Linked DNA regions of Arabidopsis thaliana. The protein of the gene in region 1 purifies or fractionates together with the protein of each later gene. This does not show direct contact. Each region holds a gene or a part of one and is shown in the gene's direction. Other genes may lie near its edges.

Evidence for each region.
Region 2: the proteins of WIN1 (region 1) and IMD1 fractionate together in Arabidopsis thaliana (co-fractionation; one large-scale study listed by BioGRID). This does not show direct contact.
Region 3: the proteins of WIN1 (region 1) and IMD3 fractionate together in Arabidopsis thaliana (co-fractionation; one large-scale study listed by BioGRID). This does not show direct contact.

Annotation. Positions count from the first base shown.
Region 1 is NC_003070.9:30,296,251-30,303,361, reverse strand, and holds WIN1 (HOPW1-1-interacting 1), read left to right. Parts: upstream 1-2,703; 5' UTR 2,704-2,848; coding exon 2,849-3,262; intron 3,263-3,635; coding exon 3,636-4,070; intron 4,071-4,162; coding exon 4,163-4,687; 3' UTR 4,688-4,900; downstream 4,901-7,111. Other genes in the region: AT1G80610 (uncharacterized protein), read left to right, coding at 1,379-1,447, 1,697-1,759, 1,852-1,920, 2,042-2,158; WRKY66 (WRKY DNA-binding protein 66), read left to right, coding at 6,206-6,408, 6,534-6,644, 6,759-7,111.
Region 2 is NC_003076.8:4,572,794-4,580,251, forward strand, and holds IMD1 (isopropylmalate dehydrogenase 1), read left to right. Parts: upstream 1-3,329; 5' UTR 3,330-3,426; coding exon 3,427-3,655; intron 3,656-3,742; coding exon 3,743-3,872; intron 3,873-3,952; coding exon 3,953-4,064; intron 4,065-4,148; coding exon 4,149-4,313; intron 4,314-4,390; coding exon 4,391-4,477; intron 4,478-4,555; coding exon 4,556-4,672; coding exon of another isoform or gene 4,673-4,674; intron 4,675-4,761; coding exon 4,762-4,869; intron 4,870-4,950; coding exon 4,951-5,157; coding exon of another isoform or gene 5,158-5,169; exon of another isoform or gene 5,170-5,243; coding exon 5,244-5,318; 3' UTR 5,319-5,609; downstream 5,610-7,458. Other genes in the region: MPL1 (Myzus persicae-induced lipase 1), read right to left, coding at 1-125, 1,199-1,318, 1,420-1,620; AT5G14210 (Leucine-rich repeat protein kinase family protein), read right to left, coding at 5,710-5,934, 6,032-6,143, 6,221-6,246, 6,351-6,899, 6,984-7,117, 7,207-7,458. UniProt on the Arabidopsis thaliana protein: Involved in both glucosinolate and leucine biosynthesis; catalyzes the oxidative decarboxylation step in both leucine biosynthesis (primary metabolism) and methionine chain elongation of glucosinolates (specialized metabolism).
Region 3 is NC_003070.9:11,140,789-11,147,789, reverse strand, and holds IMD3 (isopropylmalate dehydrogenase 3), read left to right. Parts: upstream 1-3,072; 5' UTR 3,073-3,127; coding exon 3,128-3,522; intron 3,523-3,591; coding exon 3,592-3,703; intron 3,704-3,774; coding exon 3,775-3,939; intron 3,940-4,013; coding exon 4,014-4,100; intron 4,101-4,179; coding exon 4,180-4,296; intron 4,297-4,392; coding exon 4,393-4,500; intron 4,501-4,584; coding exon 4,585-4,791; intron 4,792-4,878; coding exon 4,879-4,947; 3' UTR 4,948-5,329; downstream 5,330-7,001. Other genes in the region: PP2-A9 (phloem protein 2-A9), read left to right, coding at 472-867; IMPL1 (myo-inositol monophosphatase like 1), read right to left, coding at 990-1,088, 1,179-1,280, 1,367-1,579, 1,672-1,724, 1,790-1,847, 1,948-2,036, 2,135-2,268, 2,379-2,446 and 1 more; AT1G31175 (cytochrome C oxidase biogenesis Cmc1-like protein), read right to left, coding at 6,885-7,001.

The DNA of each region.
Region 1 (7,111 bases):
TTTCGTTGACCGAAATACCCCCAGCGTGGACACAACTCCAATTTAGGCAATGATGTTTTTAGTCTTTTCTTTTCCAAGAAACTCAATCTATCTTTCTCGATTTCTTTTGTTGTCTTCTTGGAAACACTTGTTAGATTGTTTTTGAGTTTCAAACAAACAGGTGATAAATTCGGTGATCTCTGCTTTTTGCTCTTTTCTTTTGGCAACAAAAGAGTCACGTTTTCCCACTTTTGTGCATCTCAGTCATCTTTCTCTCTCTCTCTCTATGCTGCTTTGCGGAAAGACCACAAAGCCCTCACATCAAGGGAGAGGGGAGAGGTCTTCTGGGTCAAATCAGCGTTGTAGACTTCAATGCTAAAGAGAAAAAATAAACACATTCATTATCATTACCAAGCTAATGACTAAATTAACCCTTGTCACCAGGTTAGCTGCTTCTCACGATAGAGGGTATATTAGTCAATGCCAGAGATTATCGCTGGCGTTATTTATAATTTGGGAGGCGTTTTCGTGGAATTGAATTTAAGATTAGAGTATGAGTGGATTAGGTACGTGTGTGGTAGGGTTTAGTGGGGAGAGCAGTTATCAGATGTGGCGCAGTGGACAATAAGTAGTATGTACTCGTTCTCTAGTAGTAGTGGTCAAAGTCCTCAGTTGTTGCAACGGATTAGGTCCTGTGATTCGTCCGTCAGATTTTCTTGGTGACAGTCTTGTTGAGTTAGCCTGTTTTACTTTTTTTTTTACAAAGTTTAGTTAAGATTGTTGTCTGATTTGAAGTTGACTTTGATCGGTGGGTTATAATTTGAAAACCAAAGTAAAGTCGTCAAACTAAAGGAAATGGAATTTTTGGGTAGAATAAAATAAAAATAGAAAGATGATAGATAATAAGGACAAGTGGTGGTGTGGAGAATACGTGACACTAGTTTGGGGTTGGAGGACAAGGAAAAGCATGACGTGTGAATGTGACGACCAAACACACACGCTTTATATTTAAAAGTCTCCCAAGTCACGCTCCACTCACGTGTTTCTATGTTTTTCTATATATTTATTTATTTGCCCTTCTGTTTTTTCTTTTTGAGTAGTTGACCAAGAAGATACTGCTGAAATTTACATGATTTGGAATTTTCTTTTAGATTTCCAAGTTCTAGTTGTTATTTGTTAATATGCTGATGAAGTGATTCTTTTGTTTCCAACTTATCGTGCCTCTAAAGTCTCTCTCGAATGGTAGGTGTGTGGTTTCTTTATAGAAATGATATACAATACAAAAACAAATTGTTTTTACGGTATTAGTTTGGTGTGATTATTGATTGTTGAGCTGGCTTTATCTGGTGGTGTTGTGTGTCTTAAGCCATAATCTGATTGTTTTTGTTTTGATGTCCAGATTTCTCAAACGAGTGCAATAACAACAACAACAACAACAACCCTTTTCAAGAGATCAAGAAAGAAGAAGGTAAAAAATACGAAAGACAGTGTTTCTATTAGTTACTGATACTGTTAAAAGATAATATTACTAGTTTTAGACCAGACATAGAGCAACTCTGACCAGGCTACTACCTACTGGTTTGTTTAAATCTGTTGAGGCATATTGTCTAAGATACGCCTAGCAATCTTATATTTTCTACATTTGGACTGATATGGTTTTACATTTTAGCCGATTCAAACCTATATTTCTCTAATTAATATATATGATTGTTGACAGACTTTGGCTGAGCTTAAAGAGGAAGAGATCATGCTCTTGAAGGAAAGTAACGGCCTGAAAAATGTATAACCTCCATTTTAGCCTCTTTCTTTATGTCTCTATATATCAAGTCCAAGTTCTAATCTTAGATTTGGTTAATCTTATTCTTGAATCAGGAATTGGCAAATATGCGCGATTTGCTCGAGCAACAAAGAGCAAGAAACACTGCTCTAAAGAAGATGAAGGTGAGCCCATCGCTCTCTCTCTCTCTCTCTCTCTATCTTTCTATACATGTACTCATTCAATCATATATACGGAAGATAAACATGTTAATTATTCAAGTATATCATTTTCATGTGTATGCAGGCTGAATCACAATCTGCCTTATCGTGCAAACTCACTTTCGAACAAGGTTCTTCCTTCTTGCTCCCTGACCTAAACATGCCTCTAGATAACGACCCGAGCCCTGAAGTTGTCTGCTGAACGGGCGAGCCACAAGCATATCATTCTTTTGTTTTTCCCATTACACAACACTATACCACTATACCTCCTCCGTCCACAAACATGTTTTTTGAACTGTAACTATATGAATATGAAGAACGTAGATTAATCCTATATATCCTTCACCCATATCCCGGTGGAAGCTGAAGAAGATTCGCCTGAAGGTGAAGTGGTTCGAGACTATGGTTAAGTGTGTTAACAATATCTTCTAGTTTAGCTGGTAGTAAGATTTTTGTTCTGCCAATCTCCTAAATGATTCTTATCTTTCTCCCATTTTATTAGGATGAGATGTAATTATCTACTTAGATAATAGATGTACACCTTTTTTTTTTTGTTTGTTCTTTCTTATTATCTCTGGTAAGATGTATTACATCGACATTTATAATCAGTGTAACACGTTCCAAACATTTTACTATATTTTGTATTATGATTGATGGACTAAAAAATATCTGCAGTCTTGCATTCTTTTTCATCGTTATAAATAATTTAGAAATTTCAAACCATTAATACTAAAAACACGTAATTACGGAAAAAGTAAGATACTAATCAGATTCTTTATTAAGCTCAGCTAAACCAGTAGTAGTAAAATTATCACTGGCCTTAAAACCCTAGAAATAGAATTAATCTCAGCTATTTTGTCTTAACGACTCTTTATTGTCCCGACACACGAAAATGGCGTCTCTTAGCCAAATCACCCTGCCACGCGCGCCGTCGTCGGAGATTGGCCTCTTACGCCGTCGATTGGAGCGGCCGATCATCAGAACCCGGATCGGATTCAACGGCCGGATTGCGAGCGTATTGACTAACGCAGGGGACCAAGCGGTGTCGGTAAAAGCGAGTGTGAGCCAGAAGGTGATTGAAGAGGAAGCCAAAGTTATTGTGGGTACCTACGCGCGAGCTCCAGTGGTTCTCTCGAGTGGGAAAGGTTGTAAATTGTTCGACCCTGAAGGAAAAGAGTATCTGGATTGTGCATCTGGAATCGCTGTGAATGCTCTTGGTCATGGAGATCCTGATTGGCTTCGAGCTGTCACTGAGCAAGCTGGTGTTCTTGCCCATGTCAGCAATGTTTATTACACGATCCCTCAGGTATTTATTCGTTACTGTATTTTTGCATTACTGATTCTGTTGATGGCTGACGAAAGCTTAAAACTTTTGTTGTTTTTATCCTCTGTGTGATTGAGCTATGGCCTATGGAAACATGCTAGGGAATGTTGGATTAGTCTTCTACTTATAATAGCGAGATTATTCTATGACAAGTACTTGCACTTTGAAATTTCATCAAATTGGATTGTTTCTACGCCTTCCCTATAGAAATTTTTATGAGAAGTATCTGACCTCATTGTAAACTCTTAGTGTACATATGCTCCTCAATGCCCAATTCCTCGAAAAAAGGAACCTTTATGCTCATATCTACTTCATATGGGTTGTTAAAATCTGAAATGTTTGAACTTCTCTGCAGATAGAGCTCGCAAAACGCTTGGTGGCGAGTTCTTTTGCAGACCGTGTATTCTTTTGTAACTCGGGAACGGAAGCCAATGAAGCAGCCATTAAGTTTTCAAGAAAATTCCAGAGATTCACCCATCCAGAAGACAAAGAAGTCGCGACAGGTTTCATCGCCTTTACAAACAGCTTCCATGGAAGAACCTTAGGAGCTCTTGCCTTGACAAGCAAAGAACAATACAGAACTCCTTTCGAACCCATCATGCCTGGTGTAACCTTCTTAGAATATGGTAACATTCAAGCAGCCACAGACCTTATCCGCTCAGGTAAAATAGCTGCAGTTTTTGTGGAACCAATTCAAGGAGAAGGCGGGATTTACTCTGCTACAAAAGAGTTTCTGCAATCTCTGCGCTCTGCTTGTGATGCCGCTGGATCTCTTCTCGTCTTCGATGAGGTAATATACTCTACCGTCCATCCAAAATTTTATTTTCTTTCTTTGTTTCTGTTTTTTGATTGGTCTTGCCTCAACTGGGTTCATTGTCCCAGGTTCAATGTGGTTTGGGTCGAACGGGTCTCATGTGGGCTTATGAAGCCTTCGGTGTGACTCCTGACATAATGACGGTTGCAAAGCCTTTAGCTGGTGGTTTACCTATTGGAGCGGTGCTGGTGACTGAAAAGGTTGCAGAGACCATAAACTACGGAGATCATGGAAGTACATTTGCAGGCAGCCCTCTTGTGTGCAGTGCAGCCATTGCAGTTATGGATAAAGTATCGAAACCCTCTTTCTTGTCCAGTGTCTCAAATAAAGGTCGATACTTTAGAGACCTGTTGGTGAAAAAACTTGGAGGAAACTCGCACGTGAAGGAAGTGAGAGGCGAAGGGCTTATCATAGGAGTGGAGCTCGATGTGCCGGCAAGCTCACTGGTTGATGCTTGCCGAGATTCGGGTCTTCTGATCTTGACAGCGGGGAAAGGAAATGTCGTCAGGATTGTTCCTCCGTTGGTTATATCAGAGGAGGAAATCGAACGTGCGGTTGAGATCATGTCTCAAAATTTGACTGCGCTTGATTGAAGTTCTTGGAAGAGAAATGATGTGGTGTTGAAGAAGAGCTAATGTTTTATATTCGATCTTGTCTTAAATTAGCCTCAAGTGTACCGGTAAAGATGCTCTGCACAATTGAAAAGAAATAAAATTTGACACAAAACTTGATGAACTAATTGTTCAATCTAAATACTTGTATAATTTCCATGGTTGGTTCGATGACGTCTCTATCGCGATTGTTTCCGTCTTGCGTTATAGCATGCTGGTTATGAGCTGCGTGAGGAATCAGAGCACATAGATGATAACGGTGATAGAAATATTGGTAGAGTATCCAACGAACCAGCATTGGAAAGACGTGAATCCAATTTATCGGCAGTGTATGCATTGGTCGCAACCAAGAATCTTAGGGGTCTAATTTAAAAAATGATAATTAGGGCCTTAGGCGATCCTGAACTAATGTCGAGAATTTTGGCGTTTAGTTCTGTTAATTAATTACAGATGATTGATTTTTGAGGGTCTTAGGATGATTTCTCACTATGTCTGTGTTAATAATGCCATTAGGAGTTCTTTACTGTTGCAGGGGTAGGGTTTTGGTATGTAATATAGTATTAGCATTGATGAAAATAAACAGGTGTAGCAAGAGAAGATTTCCTATAAGGTTAGTAATGAGTACAAAGCAAAAAAACAGAGCACATGCTCTGCTTCGCTATTTGTTACGGTCTGTTTTATGGCTAACGTTAACGAACAGAGTTATTGTTCTTCTCTGTTTTTGTGGCGGACACTTGCCTAATACATGGTTATTAGCTGAAATTATTGATAATCATGAATTGCGAGGTGTTACAATCGTTGCGGCTTCTACGGAAGACCAAAATTGTAATGCTACAAAGCGGAACTTATGGGATCACACATTGACGCACACACACATGTATGTATGACTGTGTTAGTGTATATGTAGAACTTACTTATTCAAATCTTGTAGCTTTCAGTTTCAGCTACACTATATAATACCAAGTTCCTAAGTTCTTCTGTAGAAACAAGTCCTATGGTTCACTATTCATCAAAAAGCATGATCCAATGATTTATGCACCCAGCTTCTATATCCAGGTTAATAACTACCTAGAGATATTCCATGGGATTCATGTCCAACAGACCAAGATGTGTATTAAATATAATTAGTCTGTTGGATTAGGTGAGAGGAAGGTGCCTTCCTTAGTTAGACTTGACCTCAAGCTGTCTGGCTACTTTGAAGTGTCCCTTAACTTGTTAATGTTATTGATTGTTTAAAGGCTAACAATCGCACAAGACCTTCCAACTACGTCGTCTCGTCACACGTTTGTGAATTACCAAATGTCAACATTGATGGCGCCAAGTTACTTTTATTGCGTTTACACTTTACACATTTTGTGGATAGTTTATTCGATAAGGCTACACTTTCCACTTTCTTTTTTTAAAAAGAAAACAATGTTTTATGTCTCTAGAAGTAGAAACCTTTGCTGATCTCTATATAAACTAATAACAGATTAACCTGAATTATCCTAAACAGAAAATATGTCTCTTGAGATTGATGCGAAGGCTGTCTCAGCACTCCTCCTTGGCCAAGGATGCGCTAACAATCTCAAGACGCTCCTCAAAAACCATGAAACAGGCTCAGTTTCAACAGAGCCACTCATCAACTCCATTCTTGATTCTTTCTCGTTTGCTCTGTCTTCTCAGAACATACCACGTCATGTGTCTCAAAGATCATCAAAGAAGTAAATTATTAAAAACTCTAAATCAAGTAGAAAACACACACCTGTTTTGGTCTATGTTACTCTATTTCTTCTACCACTTTCGATGCAAGTATCCTAGTGAACATTGCTCTGATACAACATTGCAGAAAGATGTGTGGAATACAAGGTATGGAAGATTCTCCGACACCGGCCCACATTGATGGCTTCATCTGGAGGAAATATGGACAAAAGACCATCAAAACCTCTCCGCACCAAAGGTTAGTTAATTAAGTAGATTAGAAAGACATAGCTACTGCTCTCTTTTCACAAATACAGAGCTATTTTCTAGAGTGTGTATTGAGCGATGACTAATTGTAGAGTAAAATTTACAGGTGGTACTACCGATGTGCCTATGCGAAAGACCAAAACTGCGACGCTACCAAGCGGGTACAGAAGATCCAAGACAATCCTCCAGTGTACAGAAACACCTATGTCGGACAACATGCATGTGAAGCTCCAGCTTATGCAGTTAATAATGGTGGTACATACGGTTCAAAAATGATCAAATTCGACTATGTTATTCCTGAATCGGTTATGCCTCAACCTTTATCAATTGATTCCCAAGAAATTACCATGGAGGATAAAGACACAGACGACCATATTTTGAACTATATTAACGAGCATTTGATGGAAGATGAGGCGTATGATGTTTTCCCTGATGTACTTGGAGAACGTTGCTGCTTTG
Region 2 (7,458 bases), on another chromosome or scaffold:
AGGTACTTGTGTCTTCTGCTGAATCTAGTCCCTCTTGTGTTCCCCATCCACACATCGAATCCTTGATCCGCCAAAATCAACGGCAGATTTTGATCCGCTGGATTCAACAGCCATGACATCCCATCCTGCACATTTAACTCATGATTATTTGACTATCATAGTAATGTAAACTATAAGAAATTAAAGGACCATGTTGTCAAAGAGACAAATTACAATTCTGCATACGTACGACTGTCGTCTCTGTCCACATAAAACTTAAAACATAAGGCAAGTCATAAAGTATTTTCTTTCTAGCAGGCTGATGAAAATAGTAGTACTGATCTCATCAAGTTTTGTACTTATGCACTTTATCGATGATTTTTAAGAATTCGATGAGTACCAGAGTCGAGAGTCGACACGGTTATTTATATAATATCACTTACGTACGGTACAATCATTCTTCCATACCAGAAAAGTTGTTTATCACTTGAGTTTATTTTAATTACCTTTCTAGTAACGCTCCAATTATCACTTTATTTGTTGGACACACATGTTTAACACTCATGCTGTCTCTTTATTTAATGTTTTAATTTTACCACCACTAAGATAACACATATGCACATTCTTTATCAAAAAAAGATACAGACATTAATCTAATTAATCTTACTTGTAAGTTTCAAACTCGCACGCACATACGATATAAGGATAAATGTACATATATATATATATATATATATATATATATATATATATATATGTATGTACATACTTGTTGATGAGGCATCCACTGGAAGTATACACGTTTGGTTTTGGCCCACGTGTATATGTCTATTTATAGATGTAAATCATCTTGAAATAATATATGCACATATTCTCCATTTGTATAACTTCTGAAAACGGGTATAAAATGTTCTCCTAATAATGTTTTTCTCACTATCCCTTGACGTCACTTTCCACTTTTTCTTACTTTCAAAAATTTATGTAATGGAAAACAGCTTCAATGTAGTAATCAGATATTCCGAGTGCGATGCAGTGGTTTAATTACAGCTATATATGTTTTTAATAATAGACTTTGTAGTTTGGATGTATTTCATGCATGTTGGAACAAAGTTTGATATTATCACAATAATTATCTGCACATAAAAGTAGCATGCGTGTGTATACACAAGTTAATTGACGGTTAAGGCGATGCAAAAAGGTAAGGAAGAGTAAAACTTACGACAAGAATTCCATGTTGTATTAGGACAGGTTGTCTCTTTCCCCCATCTCCGGCGACGGCTCCGGCTCGTCCTTCCGGTATCCTTTGCATATTCAATATGTACCCATCTTGAGTCACCACCTTCATAATTTAACAATTAAAATAGCAGCTTTATCAGTTAATATATCGATGAGTAATCATCATCAATAGCTATATAGAAAAAAAAAGAATGTCGTACGTACATCATGTTCTTCGCACTTGTAACCAAATATGTGAACAGAAGAAGCGCATATGCCGCCGGCAGCAGTCCTCTGCGGTGGCTGTCCGGCAAGCCTGCCGAAGGTTCCACGAGCTTCAAGGGTCTTGAGGGAAAGAGCGAAGAAGATTAAGACAGATAAGGCTAAACCGATTGAAACGGACGGAACCATAACCGAACCGGCCATTGAGATATATATAGGGGTTATCACGTACGTTTATAGGAAAGTGAAAATGGTTTTATATAGAGAGAAGGGGTGACGGATAAGATAATAGAAAATGGAATTATTAGCTATTTATAAAAATGCAAAACCACGTTAGCAACTATGGATAGACAAAAACTTATTTAGAAAAAAAAACAATTTATGGTGTGTAAACATAAATTAAGAATTGAATCATGCACAAAAAATAAGACAAGCATTTATGAATAGTTTCTAGAAGTGGTGAATCATCCACTGCTATCGTCGATACAACATTTACTAAAGTTTCTATATATAAGTGGAGGGATGATCAGTGTGACCATGCCATGATTTCTAACTTTTTTGAGAGAGCGAGGTTATTATGATAAACATTTAAAATAATACGTGGAACTGAGATGAATGGAAAATAATCTTTATAAAAGAGAAAAAAAAAAATAGAAGATCTCATGATAATAAAAGTACTTCCATATGTTTTCAATGTGAAGAAAAGAATAGTAAAGGAGATACATCCAATAGCTTAGTCTAGAAAAGAGCTGACTAATTTTTTTTAAAAACAAGATCTCTGGTTTGTATATTTGTATCGATTACACAGCCTAGATATATAAAACACAAAACTTGATGGAGACAATTTCATATCCTATATATACACATTAATTTAATGAGTGAATAGTAATAGCAACTAGCAAGGCAATCTAAACAAAATTAAGAAAAGAAAAATGTTAAATTCCTGAGATCTATAATAACTCATAAGCAAAAAATATATTTAAAAAAATCATACAAATGTTGTAATAATATCATTTTGTTTTAATGTGGAGTGATAAAAAGAAGATAGGACGAAAGAAGAAACTGTTAAAGGCGATTGTAGATGCTGTAGGGACGGATAAATGGACTATGACATCAGTTTCCGTTACTTGTTTCTTCTCGAACTCAAAGAAGAAAGAAAAAAAAAAAAAAAATTCTACATCGGTACGCTTTCGTTTCACACCCTGCATGCACACAGTGTCCGGTAGTCAAAAATACAAAAAAAAGAAAAAAAACCTCGAGACATGCTAAATTTGGATAATGATTAATAATTTGGGGGTACACAATGTTCCAAATAATTTATATACAAAGTCTTGCTTTCATATTATTTGTGTGTCCACACTTCAACAATATAGTATTATACTATTATCCCTATCCCCTATGAAGTATGAACACACTTTTTATGATACGTATCATATTCAGAAAACATCAAAAATTGGTCATAACTCTCACGTGGTGTGGTGGATTTGCCTCGCCTTTCGTTTCTGTTTTTTGCAAATATTTAAGAATCTTTGGTCATTTAGGCTTTAATTTAGTTACTTTAAATTTATTTTTGTTATAGAAGTATTATGTTAAAAACAGTTCGTGTTCATCCTTGGACTAACCAGACGATTTGACAAAATCCGAATATCCGATCATAAAATTAAATAATCAGCCGTTATTGTTCCTCTACTACTACGTTTTAACTTTTAAGAACTTCTCCTGGTACTTTGATGGGCTATAAGAGCGGCCCAATATTTCGACTTTAAAATGGGCCAATCTTTGGTAAAGGCCCAATTATAGTGGCGCTTCTTCTTCTTCTTTTCCTAAACAAGCAATGGCATGGTTTAGCTGGTGAGCCAGTTTATAGGTAAAAAGGATAATTTAAGCCATTTAAAAAAACAAATCTTTAATGGCGTAATTCAAAAAACGTGCACACCTATCTAAGTACCAAACTCTTTATGTTATATAACTATTGTGACACAATTTCAAATTTGCTAACTCCCAAAAAAAATGGCGGCGTTTTTGCAAACGAACATCAGTCTGAATGCGATCAAGATCGTCCCGGGGAAATACAGTTCTCTCACCGATCATCAGTTTCGTGCGCCGTATCGAATTAGGTGCGCCGCCGCTTCACCTGGGAAAAAACGGTATAACATCGCTCTGCTTCCCGGAGACGGTATCGGTCCAGAAGTTATCTCTGTTGCTAAGAATGTGCTTCAGAAAGCTGGATCTCTCGAAGGTTCTTTCTCTTTCTCAATGGTTTTTGGAAACAACGAGTGTGTTTGCTTAGCCAGTAGATGATTGTGTCTTTGCTTTTGTATCACAGGACTGGAGTTTGATTTCAAGGAGATGCCTGTCGGAGGAGCAGCCTTGGATTTGGTTGGAGTTCCATTGCCGGAGGAAACTTTCACGGCTGCAAAACTATCTGATGCCATTCTTCTTGGAGCTATTGGAGGGTATGTGTGTGAGTGCTGTTTCTTTAGCAATCTGCTTCCAAATTTATTCTGATCTTGAGGTTTGGATGATTATTGTTCAGGTACAAATGGGACAAGAATGAGAAACATCTGAGACCTGAGATGGCTCTGTTTTACCTTAGAAGAGATCTCAAAGTCTTTGCTAATTTGAGACCTGCTACAGTTTTGCCACAGGTATCTTCGGTTTTGATTTGCTTAGCACTTGAATTTTGCTTCTAGTTGTAAATAAACTCAAATGTTTCTGTTTTGCTTGTTCAGCTAGTTGATGCTTCCACACTGAAGAAAGAAGTAGCAGAAGGTGTTGATATGATGATTGTTAGGGAGCTCACAGGAGGTATTTACTTTGGAGAGCCAAGAGGCATTACGATCAATGAAAATGGCGAAGAAGTCGGCGTTAGTACAGAGATCTACGCTGCTCACGAGGTAATAACCCTTCACACTGTGCTCTGTGACAATATTGGCAATGTATGGATATTAATGCATTGATTTATGTTCTTCAGATTGACAGAATTGCTCGTGTAGCATTCGAGACTGCTAGGAAAAGGCGTGGCAAACTTTGTTCTGTTGACAAAGCCAATGTGTTGGATGTACGTTCTGTTAGTTCACTGAATTGTTTTTCCACTTTTGTGTGTTTTACGAAATGCAAATTTCTTTGTTTCATGTAGGCATCAATATTGTGGAGGAAAAGAGTAACAGCTTTAGCCTCTGAATATCCAGATGTTGAACTATCACATATGTATGTCGATAATGCTGCAATGCAGCTTATTCGTGACCCGAAACAGGTGCTTCTCGCACATATATCAAACTTAGTCGTTGATTAAGCTAACTCAGAAGTGGAACTAGTACTCACGGTGTTTTTAAAACAATGCAGTTTGACACAATCGTTACCAATAACATTTTTGGTGATATATTGTCTGATGAAGCTTCAATGATCACTGGAAGCATTGGAATGCTTCCATCTGCTAGTCTCGGTGAATCGGTAAACAAAATTAACTAACATCTTTCAAGGCTCCTCCTGTTTATAAACTAATGCGAAATGTTAAACTTGTGATGAAATCAGGGACCTGGACTCTTTGAACCTATACATGGTTCAGCACCAGATATAGCTGGACAAGACAAGGCAAACCCATTGGCCACCATTCTCAGCGCGGCGATGCTTCTGAAGTATGGACTTGGAGAAGAAAAGGCTGCAAAGAGGATTGAAGACGCTGTCGTGGATGCTCTGAACAAAGGGTTCAGAACCGGAGACATCTACTCCCCTGGAAATGTATGTGCATGATGATTCTTATCATTTGTTTTGTACAAGTTCGTAACAAAATACTTAAAAAAGTCTTTTGTGTTTTGAAAATGCAGAAACTGGTGGGATGCAAGGAAATGGGTGAGGAGGTTCTCAAATCAGTGGAATCCAAAGTTCCAGCTACTGTTTAAGTTTATTGATGATTTGAAGCACTTGAAAAAGTTTGTGTAGCACTTGGTTTTACGGTCACTTATATGCTAATCCATGCAACATTGTACCTTTTATAATAAATAAATTATTTGGGATCGATTCTGCAATTCAAAGACAAGATTCTCCAAAAACATTTGACAGGTCTCCTGCCTTTACTTACCTTGTTCTTGAAGATTGAGAATTTCTCTTCAACTACAAGACTCAATATCTTCTTCAATCAATATTTGTTTAACGAAATAAGTTTCAAGAGAAGACAAGCTACTATGATTTTTAGTCTCAAGAGTCTTACATTTTTATACTGAAAACCAAACTTATAGAGCTTTACATTTAGAAAACCGAAAAAACTATCAATCATTAGGTTAGCCTTTGGATTCACGACGACGTATCAGATTTGCGTTCAGCGTCTGCGGCAGACTGCATTTGAGCTGCGTATTGTAAGTTCCAGAGAACATCTTCAAAGGAAGGTCTTGCGGAAGGTTCAAGCAAAACACATTTATTGGCGATTGAGATCGCAATCGATAAAGACTCCTGCGAGCTTGTTGTTAGGACTGTTGGACTTACTATTTTCTGCCGACCGTCTTGGCTCCCAAATGATGTCTGCAAACACAACATTGCAGCAACAGCTATTAACCAAATTTGTTTCAATCAAATAACAATGATGATGCTTTTTTTTTTTGCTTTTTCTCTTTGTTACCATTTCGTTGAGAAGAAAAGCCTCTCCTTTTGTAGTGGGCACTGGTCCTATCAGAGATTCCAGAAGTATGAATCCGAAGTTGTACACATCGTCCTCTCTTTTAGCCTTTTTCCTGCATAATCTCAAAGTTTGGATTAGATTCTCATAAATGCCATGGAGTTTTGCTATACAAGGACAAAAGATGCATACTTTGACTTGTGGGTTTCTGACTTTGTCTGCAAAATGTAGAAGCAGGAGTAAAGTAGAGTCCTGAGTTAGTGTCAAAGAAGATCATACAAAATGAAGATAAACACAGTGAAAGAGAGTAAATAGAGCAAACCTCAAGCTTTTCGTTCTCTTCAATGATGGCAGAGACTCCATAGTCACTGAGCTTTGCAATCTTGTGTTCGTCAAGCAAAATATTGTTAGTCTTAAGCTGATTGTTGAATGAACCAGGCATTACACCGGTGTGAAGAAAATGAACTGCCTTTGCTATCTCAATCAGAATTGCTAGCCGATCTGGCCATGTCAGGATCTTCTCCGAGAAAGATTCTACAAATAAACAATATTCTAACAACAACGATTTTCCAAGTACAGAGAGATTCAGTATAACATTTAGTTTACTACAAATGCCAAACGACTGACCTGATAGATGTGTGCGATAGCTCCCGTTGGGCATATACTCGTATACAAGGTAGAGTATGGTTGCAACAGGATCGTGTTCTCCGCTGGTTTGCGTACAATGGCCCAAGAAGCCAAGGAGATGAGGATGGTTGAGCTTTGCCATCCAGTCTAAGTGACCTCTGATACTCTGGCTGGAGAATTTCCTTGATAAAACCAGACATCTGATAGCTATGGAACTTCCATTTTCCAGTGTTCCTCTGTATAGCTGCAAAGGATCAAAACAAGCAGAGTAAAGCAAATGACAGATAGGCAGATCACAAGAATTAATCTTGCAGAAGACAAACCATACCTTTCCAAGGGAGCCTTCACCTAAGAAACGTGATGAATCAAAATCGTCTGTGGCTTCCTTTAAATCTTCAAAAGAAAAGGACCGGCATGAGGGCACACCCTGTGCACCTAGCTTTGCTGTTTGAGAGATTAACCCTGCAAGACGAAATCATACAAGGATATTAAATCCCTGAAAGACAATTCCTAGCAGGAATAGTCTACATTTTGAGTCAAAAGTTACTCACTTGCACTAGCAAGAACTTCAGAGGAGAGACTGGTGTGTGAGTTATCTGTCACAACCTTAAGCCGAGTTTGCGGCACTGACTTTTCTCTTGAACAACAGCTAGAGCAGCGGTTTGTGCATAACAGGAGGAGGATAACTAATACAAAAAACACAAGAACAAGAACAGCTCCACCAATGACAGCAATCAAAATCCCAACCTTTCTTCCTTGGAACTGTTTTCCCTCAGTTTCAGCCTCTTCGCATAAGAATTCTT
Region 3 (7,001 bases), about 19 Mb from region 1:
TCACAATCTTACTTTGAATTTTTGACATGAGAAAATAAATACTCTACATAAAGCTCATTTCGAGAGATATGGTTTTGTTATTTCTCTACTGTAAAAAAGGCAAATCAAGAAATGTCTTCACAAAAGAGTTCGCATCATAAGGCAGACTCCAAAATGGAACAAGATGTGAGTTTCTTTTCTTTGCTATTGAAGATAATTTGCAACATCTTTTTAAATGAAATCACCAAACTTTGATTAAAAATGTTTTATCTTGCTTTTGTATTTTCCTTGTTAAATTCTGCAGAACAATAGAAAAGCATGGATTTCACAACCGAGTGGTCTTAACTTTGTTTGGGGAGGTGACTCGAGATATTGGGTTATCCCTAAAGAACCAAGGTATCATCCGATTCATTCCGACTTAACCGATAAACCCAACTTTGGTTTACTGATACCAAAAATCTTAAACTGATTCATTTGATTGTTGGTTTTAGGATGCCTGCTGAGCTGAAGATGGTGAGTTGGTTAGAAGTAACCGGTTCATTCGACAAGATTGAACCCGGGAAAACATATCGAATCGGTTTTAAAATCTCGTTTAAACCGGATGCGACCGGTTGGGACAAAGCCCCTGTTTTCATGTCTGCTAAAATCGGGAAGAAAGGCAAGACAGTGTGGAAAAGAATCAAATCCGTTAGCCAGAACTTTGGTATACTGAAAGGTGGATCAGAACCCGTCAATATACCTGACGAGTCCGATGGCCTGTTTGAAATCTTGGTTAGTCCCACAGCGCTTAACCAAGATACTAAGCTTCAGTTTGGTCTGTATGAGGTGTGGACTGGACGATGGAAGACAGGTCTGTTGATCCACGAAGCCTTTGTTCAAGAAGTGTAAGGGGGAATATGATCATTATTGATTTTCATAATCCGAACGCAAATCTTATACCTCGTTTCAGTTCAAATATAAGAGCTTTAGATCATAACAATGTAATCTTATATACCTTTCTTGAACAAGTCTTAAAGCTCTGTATGATAATCTTCCGGTTTGAACCATAACGAGAAATCGATTCCTTTCGACTTCAAATTCTCAGTTGCGGGTGCAATTCTTTCCAGAAGCTACACCGATTAAACAAAAAATATGTGAGACCTGATCTCTAAGCACAACAGATTAAAAGCATTGATAAAAGTATGAACAGTTCATGAAACCTTGGGGTGAAGAACGCCGTTGGAGACCAAAACAGACCTATCAAACACAGAAAACTTCCCTCCGTCCATCCGAGTCACAGCTCCTCCAGCTTCCTCAACTATCTGTGTCCATTTTCTGACATGGATTAAGCTCTACAACTTAAGTACTTTAGTAAGAAAAAAACAACAAGAAGGATGAAGAAGACTACAAGAACACCAGCAGCCATGTCCCATGGCTTTAAACGGTACTCCCAATATGATTCCGCAATCCCAAGTGCAACATGACACATGTCAACTGCAGCAGCACCGAGTCTTCGCACTCCCCGACTCACATCAGTAAACTCTTTGAACAGTTCCATGTTAGTGCTCCATGCATCATCATGTTCATAACCAAACCCTGTGATAAGAAGTGCTCTCTCCACCTTCATTCAAACCCGAATAAATATCTAATAAACCAAAACCATTGAACACACCATGTCGAAACTTAAAATTGGATTCTTGATAAGTTACTTACAGCATCGGTCTTACTGACATGAATTTTTTGCCCGTTACACAATGCTCCACCACCTAAGAAGTGAACTAGTTAGACAAAATTTAGATATATAGCCAAACATAAGCTTGTCACATAGTACCTGCAGTTGCAGAAAAGGTTCGAGTGTTCCAGCACATCGGACCACCGACAAACTCTACCTGCATGATGAGATTTTGTTGTTAATCCTACTGACCAAAGAATCAGCAAATAGGAACTAACAAGCATTAGCTGGTTTGTGCAAGTATATATTGGATTTACCACAGAAGCAGCGGCGGGATTTCCACGATACAGAACACCGACGGAAACAGCAAAACTGGGATATCCATGAGCAAAATTTGTAGTTCCATCTATGCATAAAGGAATTAAGAGACTAATACTAAAAATCTCAGAGATTCCACACAAACACATGAAAAGAAAGCAATGAGATTTGTAAAGAGAGCTAAACCTAGAGGATCAATGCACCAGAGGTAATCAGAAGACGAATCGCCGATGATACCTCCTTCTTCACCAAGAATAAGATGATCACTAAAATTCTTCTTCACTACTTCCAAAATAGCAGCCTCGCTTGCTTTATCAGTACTGCAAATTCATCAAAAGTACTAAAACTTTAATAGCTTCAACCAATCAAGTCAACATGAACATAGTTAAAACCTCAAGCTAACAATTTTAAAAGGTGAAGAAGTCCTTACTCAGTTACTAAGTCACTGAGACCTTTATAAGTAATATTCCTTGGCTTATTTACAGCTTCCATAACCACCTAACAAACCAGATGATTCAATTCAAGTTAGTTTTGTTATTATTCTCCTTGTGCAGTTGTGCCCTACGAACCCAAGAACTTGATTCTAGTACCATTGAACACAATTTCAAGTCTCATCAAGAGTTTTTGTTTCCAATAAACATAAATTCAGATATTGTATTCTACAGACATGAAATTTCGAACCTCAGCGCCGGTTTTAGCGGCGAGTTCAACGACTTCAAGGAGGTGTGCCGGAGATATAGTTCCGGTGGTTTTAGCGCCGATTCTGGGATATCGCGTCTGATCAGAAACCTCAGACAGAACAGCTTTGGTTTGAAGTCTCGTTGTGGACTTGAAGCTATTAGACAAAATCCTCGTACACCGATATCGGAAAGTTCTGTTCACTGTCCGGCCTGAAATTGGGTTTTGCAGCGGAAGAGATGATCTGGGTAAGTGAGAGATTCTCAATGACATGTTTCCAGAGAATATTAGAGACCTTCCCATTGTTGGTGTCGCCGGAGAATTTTCGAATTTTTGTTGTTGTTCGGTTTTTGGTTTATATGAACGCGGCCAAGTGAACGGATGGTGGACATGAGAGAGTCCAAAAAGCTGATAGAACTTAAAATTGAAATTAATGAGAACATTGAACCAAAATCAGGTTAACAAATAACCAGAGATAACCGGTCTCTGTAGTATACTCAAATGGTTAGTTTTTGCCGATGGTGGTGCCCTAAACTCGAAAAAAAGATGGCGGCGTTTTTGCAAACTAACATCCGTCTGGAGATCATACCGGGAAGATACAGTTCTCTCACCGATCATAAGTTTCGTGCGCCGTATCGAATTAGGTGCGCCGCCGCTTCACCGGTGAAAAAACGGTATAACATCACTCTGCTTCCCGGCGATGGTATCGGTCCAGAAGTTATATCTGTTGCTAAGAATGTGCTTCAGAAAGCTGGATTTCTCCAAGGACTAGAGTTTGATTTCCAGGAGATGCCTTTCGGCGGAGCAGCTTTGGATTTGGTCGGAGTTCCATTGCCGGAGGAAACTTCCACTGCTGCTAAACAGTCTGATGCCATTCTTCTTGGAGCTATCGGAGGGTATGTGTAATGCGTGTGTGTGTTGTTTCTTCAGCAAATTTATTCTCTTTATGATGATTTTTTGTTCAGGTACAAATGGGACAAGAATGAGAAACATCTGAGACCTGAGATGGGTCTGCTTAACATTCGAAGAGATCTCAATGTCTTTGCTAATTTGAGACCTGCTACAGTTTTACCACAGGTATTGATTTGCTTATCACTTTGCTTTCTAGTTGTAAATATACTCAAATTTTTCTGTTTTTGCTTGTTCAGCTAGTTGATGCTTCCACACTGAAGAAAGAAGTAGCACAAGGTGTTGATATGATGATTGTAAGGGAGCTCACTGGAGGTATTTACTTTGGAGAGCCAAGAGGCATTACGATCAACGAAAATGGCGAAGAAGTCGGTTTTAATACAGAGATCTACGCTGCTCACGAGGTACTACTTACTCTTCACAATCTGCTGCTCTGTGACAATGTATGTGTATTAATGCATTGCTTTATCTTCTTCAGATTGACAGAATTGCTCGTGTTGCATTCGAGACTGCTAGGAAAAGGCGTGGCAAGCTGTGTTCTGTTGACAAAGCCAATGTCTTGGATGTATGTTTTGAATTGTTTTTCCACTCCACTCTTGTGTGTTTTTCGTTATACAATTATTTTTTTGTTTTGTTTCGTATAGGCATCAATATTGTGGAGGAAAAGAGTAACAGCTTTAGCCTCTGAATATCCAGATGTTGAACTATCACATATGTATGTCGATAATGCTGCGATGCAGCTTGTCCGTGACCCGAAACAGGTGATCTTCGCGCATATATAAAGCTTAGCCGTTGATTAAGCTAACACAGAAGTGGAACTTGTAGTACTCACGGCATTTTTAAAAACATTATTGCAGTTTGACACAATCGTCACCAATAACATTTTTGGTGATATATTGTCTGATGAAGCTTCAATGATCACTGGTAGCATTGGGATGCTTCCATCTGCAAGTCTTGGTGAATCGGTAAGTAAGACTAAATCTAATATTTCAAGGTTCCTCTGTTTATTATTATCATATATTGATTGTTAAACTTGTGATGAAAACTAGGGACCTGGACTCTTTGAACCTATACATGGTTCAGCACCAGATATAGCTGGACAAGACAAGGCAAACCCATTGGCCACCATTCTCAGTGCGGCGATGCTTCTCAAGTATGGACTTGGAGAAGAAAAGGCTGCAAAGATGATTGAAGACGCGGTCGTGGATGCTCTGAACAAAGGTTTCAGAACCGGAGACATCTACTCCCCCGGAAATGTATGTGTATGATGATTTCTGTCTTTTGTTTTGTATAAGTTAATGACAATATACTTAAAGAAGTCTTTTTGTGTTTTGAAAATGCAGAAACTGGTGGGATGCAAGGAAATGGGTGAGGAGGTTCTCAAATCAGTGGACTCCAAAGTTCCTGTTTAAGAAAAGTGTGTAGCCCTTGGTTTTACTGTTACTTTTTTGCTAATACATGTATTAGAAACTGTATTCTTGTAGCTTTTATAATAATAAAATATTTGGGATCGATTCTGCAATTCAAAGACAAAATTCTCCAAGAACATTTGACAAGTCTCCTGCCTCAGTACCTTGTTCTTGAAGATTGAGAAGTTCTCGCCAACTACAAAACTCAACATCTTCTTCAATCAATATTTGTTAAACGAATAAAGTTTCAAGAGAGACAAGAAACTATGTTTTTTAGCCGCTAGAGTATTACATTTTTCTACTGAAAAACCAAACTTATAAAACATAACATTTATAAATCCGAAAACAACTATCAATCATCAGGTTAGCCTTTGGATTCACGACGACTTATCAGATTTGCGTTCAGCGTCTGCGGCAGACTGCATTTGAGCTGCATATGGTAAGTTCCAGAGAACATCTTTAAAGGAAGTCTTGCAGAAGGTTCAAGCAAAACACATTTATTGGCGATTGAGATGGCAATTGGGTAAAGACTCCTGCGAGCTTGTTGTTAGGACCGTTGGACTTCCTATTTTCTGTCGACAGTCTTGGCTCCCAAATGACGTCTGCAAATACAACATTGCAGCAACAGCTATTAACAATGATGAAGATTTGCTTCTTTTCTTTACCCTATATGATACCATTTCGTTGAGAAGATAGGCCTCTCCTTTTTGTAGTAGGTACTGGTCCTATCAGAGATTCCAGAAGTATGAATCCAAAGTTGTACACATCGCCCTCTGTTTTAGCCATTTTCCTGCATAATTCCAAAGCTAAGAAACGTGATGAATCGAAATCGTCTGTGGCTTCCTTTAACTCTTCAAAAGAAAATGACCGGAATGAGGGCACACCTTGTGCACCTAGCTTTGCTGCTTGAGAGATTAACCCTGCAAGACGAAGTCGTACAAGGATATTAAATTCCTGAAAGACAATTGCCACCAGGCGGAGGTCTACAATTTGAGTCAAAGTTACTCACTTGCACTAGCAAGAACTTCGGAGGAGAGACTGGTGTGTGAGTTATCTCTGTCACAACCTTAAGCCGAGTTTGAGGCACTGACCTTTCTCTTGAACAACAGCAAGAGCAGCGGTTTATACACACAAGAACAAATACATCTCCACCAAGGACAGCAACCAAAATCCCAATCTTTCTTCCTTGGAACTGTTTTCCCTCAGTTTCAGCCTCTTCGATTACGAATTCTTGATGCTGATCATGACTGCCAATAATGGAAAAGAAACGGGGAGGGGTCCCAATTAATCTGTTATTCGACAAATCCAAGTTTGCCTCCACAGGTCAGATTATGCTGTAGCTTCCCACTGAGCTTGTTAGATGCAAAGTCTAAGTAACTAATGTTTGGCAAAGAGAACAAGAACCGAGATGAAGTTCCAGTCAGATGATTGAACGTCAAGTCAAGATGCTGAAGCTGAGACAAACAACCAAAACTTCTGGTAGTAACCAATAGACCTGAGGCTGTTGATTGATCACACTCGAAACCTCATTGAATCTAACATCTTACACAAAAACAGAAACAGCCTTATTTCTGAATCCAACAACAGCTGCCAAAACTTGAAAGTAGCTAACAAAAGGAAATGATTCCACCACAATGGCTCCTGCTTCAGTTCAGAGCAGCTTATAGAAATCTGAATAACGGATTCTTGATTACACAATTCATTATACCAAAACCATATAAAGGATTACTACAGATTCAACAAAAATTCACAACCTTCCTTAAATCATTCTTCTGCCATTTGATGATGAACATATTCAAATTCCCAGAAATATCCATCCTTACTATCTCCAACAGATGCAGAAAAAAGAATCAGAATTTTAAAACCCTAATTTTACCAATTACGTAGCTCACAAGATCCAAAATAACCTTTCGCCGACAACAACAACAAAACCACCGTATCTAACGCTGCTCAAACTCTCGCTGATGGCGAGAGAGACAGAGAGAAAGTGAAAGCTGAGCGTATTCGCACTGTTTACGCTTAAGGCTTGTTCCGCCGCTAGAGCAAAGAGACCTCAC